3 linked regions of the Tribolium castaneum genome follow. The protein of the gene in region 2 purifies or fractionates together with the protein of the main gene of each other region. This does not show direct contact. Links are inferred from orthologs where the notes say so. Each region holds a gene or a part of one and is shown on either strand. Other genes may lie near its edges.

Evidence for each region. The genes of interacting proteins can lie anywhere in the genome.
Region 1: the proteins of Cdk7 (region 2) and Cdc37 purify together in Homo sapiens (affinity purification with mass spectrometry; 3 studies listed by BioGRID and IntAct, counting the BioPlex papers as one, with this or other methods). This does not show direct contact. The link is inferred for Tribolium castaneum from reciprocal best matches to the Homo sapiens genes CDK7 and CDC37.
Region 3: the proteins of Cdk7 (region 2) and Xpd purify together in Homo sapiens (affinity purification with mass spectrometry; 10 studies listed by BioGRID and IntAct, counting the BioPlex papers as one, with this or other methods). This does not show direct contact. The link is inferred for Tribolium castaneum from reciprocal best matches to the Homo sapiens genes CDK7 and ERCC2.

The regions. Positions count from the first base shown.
Region 1 is NC_087398.1:2,272,901-2,276,213, forward strand, and holds Cdc37 (hsp90 co-chaperone Cdc37), read left to right. Parts: upstream 1-1,312; 5' UTR 1,313-1,439; coding exon 1,440-1,472; intron 1,473-1,519; coding exon 1,520-1,810; intron 1,811-1,857; coding exon 1,858-2,136; intron 2,137-2,211; coding exon 2,212-2,700; 3' UTR 2,701-2,813; downstream 2,814-3,313. Other genes in the region: queuosine 5'-phosphate N-glycosylase/hydrolase, read left to right, coding at 1-53, 107-1,003; Spase25 (signal peptidase complex subunit 2), read left to right, coding at 3,130-3,165, 3,258-3,313. UniProt on the Homo sapiens protein: Co-chaperone that binds to numerous kinases and promotes their interaction with the Hsp90 complex, resulting in stabilization and promotion of their activity. Inhibits HSP90AA1 ATPase activity.
Region 2 is NC_087394.1:10,696,180-10,699,141, reverse strand, and holds Cdk7 (cyclin-dependent kinase 7), read left to right. Parts: upstream 1-1,220; 5' UTR 1,221-1,408; coding exon 1,409-2,425; 3' UTR 2,426-2,462; downstream 2,463-2,962. UniProt on the Homo sapiens protein: Serine/threonine kinase involved in cell cycle control and in RNA polymerase II-mediated RNA transcription. Cyclin-dependent kinases (CDKs) are activated by the binding to a cyclin and mediate the progression through the cell cycle.
Region 3 is NC_087394.1:27,625,936-27,629,995, forward strand, and holds the start of Xpd (general transcription and DNA repair factor IIH helicase subunit XPD), read left to right. Parts: upstream 1-1,260; 5' UTR 1,261-1,439; coding exon 1,440-1,444; intron 1,445-1,495; coding exon 1,496-1,595; intron 1,596-1,640; coding exon 1,641-1,895; intron 1,896-1,943; coding exon 1,944-2,177; intron 2,178-2,224; coding exon 2,225-2,445; intron 2,446-2,495; coding exon 2,496-2,629; intron 2,630-3,546; coding exon 3,547-4,060. Other genes in the region: Tbce (tubulin-specific chaperone E), read left to right, coding at 1-412, 462-747, 794-1,095. UniProt on the Homo sapiens protein: ATP-dependent 5'-3' DNA helicase. Component of the general transcription and DNA repair factor IIH (TFIIH) core complex, not absolutely essential for minimal transcription in vitro.

The DNA of each region.
Region 1 (3,313 bases), on a different chromosome or scaffold from region 2:
TTAGCAAAAACGTGAAAATCAAAGACGAAGGTGTGAAAAAACTGGGGGATTTGGTAAGTCCGTGCGTATCAGGCGAAAAAAGGCACATTTTAACTGTTATCTCCAGTTGGTTAGCGAGATCGAAAGCGGGAAATTGTCCAGTGAGAAGTTCAGTCAAGTGAAACTGCACCCAAAATCCGACGATCCCAAAGCCCTTGACTGGTTATTTGTCGTGGACACTCTGAATTTTTGCTTCTGGCACTTAGAAACCGAAGCTGGCTGGACTGTGGAGGGCTACACTGGTTATTTTGCCCTTTGTGCGGCTATTAATCGAGCCGTGAAGGAAAAAGTGGATATTTTGAACTCGAAATACTACTCTGAAGTGTCCGAAAAAGACCTTGCGAAAATATTCAGAAGCGACAACGATGTCCCAATTCCACTCCTCCAGGAACGCGTCAAATGCTTGCACGAAGTTGGGAACGTCCTTCTTGAAACTTTCGACGGTTCGTTTGAAAATTGCGTGAAAAAGGCTGACAAGAGCGCTGTGGCCCTTCTGGACCTAATCGTCAACAATTTCAAGTGCTTCAAGGACGAAGCGACTTACAAAGACAAGAAAATTGCGATTTACAAGCGGGCGCAGATTTTAATTGGCGACATTTGGGCCTGTTTCAAGAACGAAGGACTTGGGCACTTTAAAGATATCGATGAAATAACAATGTTTGCGGATTATAGAATCCCACAATCTCTCCTATATTTCGGGGTGTTTGAGTACAGCGAAGATTTGAAGAAGAAACTGCAAGACAACAAAATTCTCGAAAACGGGGAAGAGGACGAAGTGGAGATCAGAGCTTGCTCCATCCATGCGGTCGAGCTGCTAAAAGAACATGCCAATAAAAAACTAACTGATACGAAAATCAATGCCATTTTGATCGATCACTTCTTGTGGGACTTCAGACGCGAACATAACAAGGAAATCGTGGAGAAGAAGTTGCCGTTCCACAAAACGTTCTCCATTTATTACTAAATCGAACGACAATATCAAGTTAAAATTGGAGTTGACCGAATCAATGTGCTAATTTATTAGTAATTAATCGAAAATTTCAGGGAGCGGTTGGCCATGAAACTTTGATATGGCATTTTGGTGGTAGTCATGGTTACAATTGTTACAAACCGAACCGTACTTTTTCATTGCCAACTATGCTGTCATGTTTTATTTCATATCAGTAATTTTTAAGATTAATCGTGTCAATGTTTTTAAAGTTAAAGTATTAGATTATGATTGAAAGAATATTCTGGAATTTTATTTGCCCTCGTCTCCCTACCCATGATCCTCTGCCGACGTTTCGCGAAAGCCAGCCAGAGGGCGGAGGAGCAGCAAAGTGACGTTTGTTGTTTATTTCAAAAGTGCAAGTGTTTTATTGTTGTATTTTCTTGGAGGAATCAAAATTCGCATTGGCGTCATGGTCGATTACAGCAAGTGGAAGAATATTGAGGTAGTGAAGTCTGGGAGGAAAAAATGAGGTTAGGTGGTGCTTTGCAGATTTCCGACGATGAGGATGAGACGCATCCAAATATTGACACCCCTTCACTTTTCCGGTGGAGGCACCAGGCCAGAGTTGAGCGCATGGAAGAAATGAAGAAAGAAGCGGAAGAAATCCAGATAAAGAGGGAGGAAAATGCTAAGAAGGTCTCGCAAGCCAAGCAGAAGCTGGCGGAAGCCGAGAAGGCCGGAGATGCGAATTTGAGGGAACTTAAGGACGCTCTGGCCGCGCTGGAGAAGGAAATGGAAGCGATTAAGAAGAAACAGGAAGAACACGAGAAGAAAGAAAAAGTTTGTACGAATGTTAGTTCTTCTAATGTTTATTTAGTGATTTACAGATGGCCCCGTGGAATGTGGACACAATTAGTCAGCCAGGTTTTGCAAAGACTGTTATTAATAAGAAAGCTCCGAGACCGAAGGACGAACAATTAACGGATGAAGAGAAGGAAAGTCGCATGAAAAATTTTGTAAAAGAAAACGAGAAGAATTTGAAGCACTTTGGAATGTTGCGACGTTATGAAGACTCTCGGGCTTTTCTCAGGGACCACCTTGAATTGGTTTGCGAAGACACAGCTAATTACCTCGTCATCTGGTGCATCAATTTAGAAATGGAAGAGGTAAGATTGTGGCAAAAAATGTATATTGGCAACACTGAGTTGTTGGGGTAAATTATGTATTGTTCTTTTAATTAGAAACATGACCTTATGGAGCACGTGGCGCACCAGACCATCTGCATGCAGTACATCCTAGAACTAGCCAAACAATTAGACTACGACCCTCGCGGCTGCGTGGACCCCTTTTTCTCCAAAATCCAAATAGCTGATCCTCTTTACAAAAAATCGTTTGACGATGAATTAGACCAGTTTAAGGAGAGGATCAGACGACGCGCAGCTGAGAAGATTGAAGAGGCCATAAAAGAAGCAGAGGAGGAGGAGAGGAAAGCGAGGATAGGGCCAGGAGGGTTAGATCAGCTTGAAGTCTTGGAAAGTCTTCCCGAGAATTTACGAAAATGTTTCGAGACGCAAGACATCCAAATGTTGCAAGACACAATCAAGGAAATGGATGAAGAAGAGGCCAACTATCACATGAAGAGGTGTGTTGCTGCGGGTCTTTGGATACCTGATGCCAAAAAGAAGGAAGAAGAAGAAGCTGGGCCTTCTGATGAGCAGTCAAAACCCTAAAGTCACTTGCTTTACAATTTTTGTTATTTAGCCTTTATTTCCTAAGAATGCAAATTTATTGTATTAATTTATTAGGAATGCTTGAAGATTAATAAATTTCTTTACTTTATAAACTTGACGTAAACTTTCTTATACCCATCCCAATTCCCGCATTTTCTCTCACTGACTTAAATTAATCATCCACTTGAAAAAAATAATAGCCAAACGAATTTACAGTTTCAGTGGCAGATATAACAATCAACGTTATTTAAAAAAAATATTTGGTAAAACCCGTTCTTTTGAAAAAGCGTAGTTACTTTTGTTCACCGATGTTGGTGTATTTTCGCGTTTCCCATATTTCGTGTTCTGACGCATCACTTGACGTGTCGCAACAACAAGACACGACAACACCACATAAAAAATTGAAAATTTAACCAGTCAGTTAAGATTATGGCCCCAAAAGAAAGCAAAGAAAAGGATGATAAGGTACAGTTTAAATGAATGAACACGTAATTTGCACGCTTGTTATTTAAATACGGAAAAAATTGTAAATTTGGCTTCATAACCTATTGTTGCAGCCTGTTAAAATAAATAAATGGGACGGTTCAGCTGTGAAAAATGCCATAGACGATGC
Region 2 (2,962 bases):
GGAAAATTAAATAATACCTGAATCGTAGAAGATAATTCACCACAACTTTGTTCCTTAGAACTGTTTTTTCTAACTACACCGCTAATAATGCCACATTAACTAATGAACAAAAATCAGCTTTTCATACAAAAATTCTCATGAAAAAGGAAGCCTCTACTGTAAAAAACTTATTTATCGAAGAAAACAACAATTATATGTTATGAAGATTGGTTAGCAGTTTTCAGTAGAGCAAGTTCTAAATTCTTCTTTACACTTAGTTAGAAATAATTAAGGGGTTGCATTCCTAAACATTTTTCCCTTTACATTCGAAACTGAGAAATTCTTATTTCTTGCCTTTAAGTTTTTCAGGTTTTACTAAGATAATTTTACCACAAAAAAACAAAAGTTGTTTGGGCTTAATCTACATTTACTTGACGATATTTTAAAGCAAATACAATGTTTAACTATTAGTTTATCACAGAAACAACGAATATATTTTCAAAACTTTTAGTGAATATATTAAAAAAACAAGACGTGATAGACAAATGTGAGATATATTTTAGTTATTACGTTATTAGTGAGTGAGAAGAAAACAAAATCAGTATAAATTATTTCTTGGTAAAAGAAAAAATTTTTTGTAAACTAGTTTAATTATCATAACTAATCATAGGACCGGTTTATAAAAACGTCATTAATTTAATCAGTTATAAAATGCGTGATTAACTGATTACGTGACCAAATTGAAGTCATTTGGTTGGTTCATTCGCGTTGTTAACTTTTAACAACGAATTCAATTTTAACAGAGCCTTTTATAAACCGGCCCATAAATTTAAAAAAATTAATAATATTTGAGAGTTTAAAGCAGCGAAACCGCTTTAAACACAAATCTAGCTTTTTAGAAAGCAAATTTTTTTAAAATAAGATGAAATGTTGCACATTACGTGGTTTTGCTTTGTGTATTTAAGAATGTTTCTTAATAAAAAAAAATGTTGTTTAAACAGACTCTCATTGTTGGGTTTTCTATAGTTTTTTTGTCAGAAACAAGCATATTAATATTGATATTTTACACGAAATAGTCAAAAAAGGTTCAAATTAGACGTAATTCTTTTCTATTACACATTTTTGTTACCGATTTACTTTCTAAAAAAAGAACAGTTATTAATAGTAGGTTGACCACAATTATGGTGCTGTATATGTGGTTGCATACCAAATTAATTTTTTTTATCAAATTCATTTTTAATTACTTAGTTATCCGACTTTTTCATTCCTGTTTGAAAACTTCCACTGCAACTTCATTCTTTGTTTGTTTGATCATTGTATTTATTTAAAATTTCTCATTTTTGAACCCTCGAAATTCCGAAGGTTGGTAGCTTTGGCTTTCAACCCCTCATAACCTCAAACCGGCAATTTTCAAAATAATGTGATAAAAATGTCGAATAAACTAACCCGTTACGAAAAAATCGAGTTTCTGGGCGAGGGCCAATTCGCCACGGTGTACAAAGCCCGCGATGTAGAGACCGACAACATCGTCGCAGTGAAAAAAATCAAAATGGGGAGTCGTCAAGAGGCCCAAGACGGCATCAACCGAACAGCCCTTCGCGAAATCAAACTCTTACAAGAACTGCACCACCGCAACGTAATCGGCCTCTTGGACGTCTTCGGACACATGTCCAACGTGTCCCTTGTGTTTGATTTCATGGACACGGATTTGGAAGTTATAATAAAAGACAACACGATTATTTTAACAACTGGCAACATAAAAGCCTACATTATTCAAACGCTGCAAGGGCTGGACTACTTGCACCGAAACTGGGTCCTTCACCGGGACCTCAAGCCCAACAACCTTCTGGTGAACTCCAACGGCGTGCTCAAAATCGGCGATTTCGGGCTTGCGAAGCTCTACGGCTCCCCAAACCGCATCAACACGCACCAGGTGGTCACCAGGTGGTACAGGTGCCCCGAGCTGCTCTTCGGGGCAAAGTTGTACAGCACGGGGGTGGACATGTGGGCTGTGGGGTGCATCCTCGCGGAGCTCCTCCTGCGAGTGCCCTTGTTTCCTGGCGAGTCGGACCTGGACCAGCTGACCAAAATTTTCGCAGTTTTTGGAAATCCGACCGAGGAGAATTGGCCGGGGCTGAAGAGTTTGTCCGATTACGTCGAATTTAAGCCGTTTACGCCGATTCCGTTGAAGAATATTTTCACAGCCGCCGGTGATGATCTGCTTGATGTCTTGGAGGGGCTTTTGGTGTTGAATCCGTTGAAGCGGTTCGAGTGCAGCAAGTGTTTGGCGATGCCGTTTTTCAGTAATAAACCGGCGCCGACGCCGGGATCCAAGTTGCCGTTGCCTCAAAACATCAGAAAAACTGAAGTGGAAAGGCCTACTTTGAAGAGGAAGCTGCTGGATGCGGTGGAGGGAGGGTCGCTATCTAAACGATTGTTTTTCTAATTTTTTTGTAAATAAATTATTTTTTAGTAAATAAGAATTCAGTTATTAAAAAAAGTTATGCGTTGTTAAGGGGGAGAATACCTACTCTAAAAAGCGTCGAATTTCATCTATTTTCCTCGCTGTTTTACAGCCCTTCTTAGTAACGTTTTTGAAAGTTATATATTCTTCTACTCTGGCTATAGGAGAGAAACTGTTTTAAATGCTGTCAGTGCTTTATTTAATTCAGAAAAAAAACCTGAAAATTGACAAAAATTTGGTGTTTTTTGAACATTATTTCCCTTTGATATAGAGTCTTAAAGAGAAAATGAACTACTATTGGCCCTCCCTGTAATGGACTGTCAGGAATAAAGTGGCTTTTGTTTTAACTCGAAAATATGAATCGTTAACTTGTAAAACTCTTAAAATGAATTATACTGAAAAAGACGTTTTTACGAAAATTTTTGAAAAGCTTAAAATTTACATCGTCATATTTTCCTTCTGGATTAAGCTAGAAACTTCTTTTTTTTGCTGAAACTCTGGCCCGCTTACGTAGAGTAC
Region 3 (4,060 bases), about 17 Mb from region 2:
GAGGCTTTTTTGGCTGAATGTTAGTGAGAATTTGCTGGACTTGCCAACGATTAGTGAGAGTTTTCCAAACGTGACAACTCTGATTTGTGGGTGTATGGACTTGGACTGGGGGCACATTTGCCAACTTGGACGCATTTTCCCGTCAGTTGAAGAGTTCAGAGCTCCGAATAACAAAATCCGGGGGCTTAGCACACCTGAGGGGTTTTTCACCAAATTAAAGTTGCTCGATCTTGAAGGGAATAACATTGAGTTTTGGACGGAGGTCTGCAAATTGGGGGATTTACCGCACTTGGAGCAACTTATTCTGGAGAATATTGGGCTCCAGTTGATTGAGTTTGAGGGTGATTCCCCCAAAGTACAAGCTTTCAGAGCGATGAAAAAATTATGTGTTGTGAAAAACTTGATCCGTGAGGTAAGACTGAAACTTTGTTCGTTTCCGTTCATGAGAGGATTGATTTTAGTGGCGTTCTGTGGCTGAGTTAAATCGGCTTGAAAGTTTAGAAAATCTGCGATTTTCCAAAAACCCCATCACAGAATCGGAAGAACCTGACACTATCCATCAAATAATAATCGCAAAAATTGCCAACTTGAAAATTTTAAATGGGGTTGAGATTGAAGCCACTGAGAGACGGGGGGCTGAATACGACTACATGAAAAAGTACGGTCTTGAATGGTTGGACGCCAAGGGTACCAACAAAGAGGCTGATTTTCTCAAAACCCACAACAGATATTTGGAATTGATACAAAGTCTGTTTATATTTTTTTTGTTACGTTTTTACGGTTATTTTTGCAGAATATGGCGAGCTGGAAGAGAGTGAACTTGTCTCAAAACCGAAAATTATTAAAAATACGTTGGTCCAATTAAGTATAGTTTTTGAGGACTTTACGGTAGAAAAGAAAGTGCCTCTCACAATGACTGTGCAAAAACTTATAGTCCTCACACAGAAAATGTTCAGCTTGAGTGGAAGGCCCCACTTGATTTACGCCAGCAAGAGCGATCCAGAAATCGAGATTCTTCTAGAGGATGAAATGAAAGAAATCGGAGTTTACTCAATGCAAAATGGTGATAAAATTATCGTGAAAGACAAAGTGTGATTGATTTTGTGTTGTACAAAACCATTAATTTATTCAATAAAGTTTTTAATAAATATTTTCCAAATAAAAAGGTGTTTTCTTCTTGAATACTTGAATACATTACATAACCCTACTTATTATAGAATCTTTGAATAACTGATAGAATACGTGGTTCCAGCTCACAGGACTTAAATTTTTAGGCCCCCTTCTTCCTTACTAATCGATTAGCAGCAATAGAAACGTTCCTATTGTTAGAAAATATTACAAAAAATTGCATAACCGCACTTTTTTCCAAACATGCCATAACCTAAAAAAACTACCGGGTCAATGTAAACACCACGGTTTCACCCAGCACCATACAAAAAATGAAGTAAGAACCCGACTATTGGCACTTGAGTTGCCTCAAAACCGAAAATTTTAGACTAAACGTCGATGGCTTAATCGTGTACTTCCCCTATGACTACATCTACCCCGAGCAGTATGCCTACATGTGCGAGCTCAAGCGGGCCCTGGACGCCAAAGTACGCTCCCCGCCTTTCACAGCCCCTTTTTTATGTTAATTTTAGGGCCACTGCCTTTTGGAAATGCCCTCAGGGACGGGTAAGACCACCACCATTCTCTCCCTCGTTGTTGCATACATGCTCGAGCACCCCCATGACGTCCGCAAGTTGATCTACTGCTCTCGTACTGTCCCCGAAATCGAGAAAGTTATGGAAGAATTGAAAAAACTGCTCGAGTATTATGAGAAGTTGGACGGGGAGTACCCCCATCTCCTGGGGCTGGTTTTGTCCTCACGGAAGAATCTATGTATTCACCCGGAAGTAGGTGATTTGGGGGTGCATAACCGGGCTTGATTTTGCAAATTTCAGGTGAGTACTGAGCGCGAGGGTAAGATTGTGGACGGAAAATGCCACGCACTAACGGCGAGTTACATAAGGGAGAGGCACAATTACGATGATACAACTCCCATTTGTCAGTATTACGAAGGTTTCGCTTTGGATGGCAAAGAAAGTACGATGCCGTTTGGGGTTTACAGTATAGATGATTTGAAACAGTACGGACGGGACCGCAACTGGTGCCCCTATTTCCTGTCTCGTTTTGTGGTACTTGAGGTCACACTTTACATTGCACTTCTGACCCTTTTTCCTAGATAAGTTACGCGAATATCGTAGTCTACAGTTACCACTATTTACTAGACCCCAAGATCGCCGAAGTCGTCTCCAAAGAGCTGACACGAGAGTCAGTTGTTATTTTCGATGAGGCTCACAATATCGATAATGTTTGCATCGACTCAATGAGTGTGAAAATCAACAAACGAATTATCGATCGAGCTTCCGCCAACATCCAGTTATTGGAACGTACTGTGGCCGAGTAAATCCCCGGAAGTTTAAGTTTTCTCTGGATTTTTTAAAATTTTTTAGGATGCGTGAAGACGATCACAAAAAATTGCAAGAAGAATATCAGAGATTAGTTGAGGGGCTGCGCGACGCTAGCGTGGCGCGAGACACTGACGTCATTTTGGCCAATCCGGTCTTGCCCGACGCCATCCTCCAGGGTAATACCCGAATTAGATTTATATATTCCGTGACGTTGAAATTAAGTTGGCAACACTGAGTGATATAGACACAGCTTAATGCGTTGACAAAAATGAAGAAATTTAGTGATTTTTAGCCAAAAAACTTTGTACTTAACAGCTTGAGAATTTAAAAAATAACACTGTTTTCAAAGTTTGATAATTTTTAACTTATTTTTAGCAAAATTTCACTCGAAAACGAGGTCATTCGAATGAAACAAACTCAATAGTATAATTTTCGATTTGTGTATAATTTTTAAACATGTTTAACAAAGTTAAAAAACTAAACAGATCTGACCTGACCTGACCTGACAATAAATAAATAAAATAGGTAGCATCAATTGCGATATATTTTCCTGGATTTTCATCCTTTTTTCAACGAATTTTTTTGGAGGAAAACCTTGTTTTTTTCTCATAAACCTGGTAAACACTCGGTAAAGCCAAATTTGGTTGACCTAATTCAGTCGAATATTTTTCAACGAAACAATCTTCAACGAAATAACTGTTTCTAAATAAAAACACATGAAAAAAGCAAAAAATAATGTCATTTTCGATTAAATAAGAATCTTTTTTCTGCTGAAATCTCTCAAAAGTAAACTTATTTGCTTATTTTTTGTCTTATTTTTGAGGGCATTATTCGAAATCATTGAACTTCAGGCTAAAACAACCATACAAAATGCTCGGAAAATGCAAAAATAATCGCATTTTCGATGATATTTTGTGATTTGTCCGCCTGGTTTAGTAATGCTTTGAGAAGAATTTTGTAGCTCAAAAATGCACTTAAATGCTAGACAGAGGCAAAAATATTGCCATTTCCGAATTAATTTTTTGGGCTGATTGTTATTTATTATGTCAGTAATTCGAAAAAAAATTAAATTGCGTAATTTATTAATTTTCAGAGGCCGTCCCTGGAAATATTCGCAACGCCGAGCACTTTGTCAGTTTCCTGAAACGTTTCCTCGAATACCTCAAAACTCGGCTGCGAGTCCAGCACGTGGTGCAAGAAAGCCCTGCTGGATTTTTAAAAGACGTCCAATCCAAAGTCTGTATTGAACGAAAACCGTTACGTTTCTGTGCTGAACGCTTGGCATCTCTGTTGAGAACTTTGGAAATATCAGACTTGACCGACTTCAGTCCGGTCATTTTAGTCACACATTTGGCCACTTTGGTGGCCACTTATACGAAAGGTTTTACGATAATCGTAGAACCGTTTGATGATAAGACACCGACGGTGTCAAACCCGATCTTACATTTCAGTTGTTTGGATTCGTCGATTGCCATAAAACCGGTTTTTGATCGGTTTCAAACCGTGGTTATAACCTCTGGAACCCTATCCCCTCTAGATATGTACCCCAAGATTTTGAACTTCCATCCTGTGATCATGTCTTCGTTCACTATGACGTTGGCCAGGCC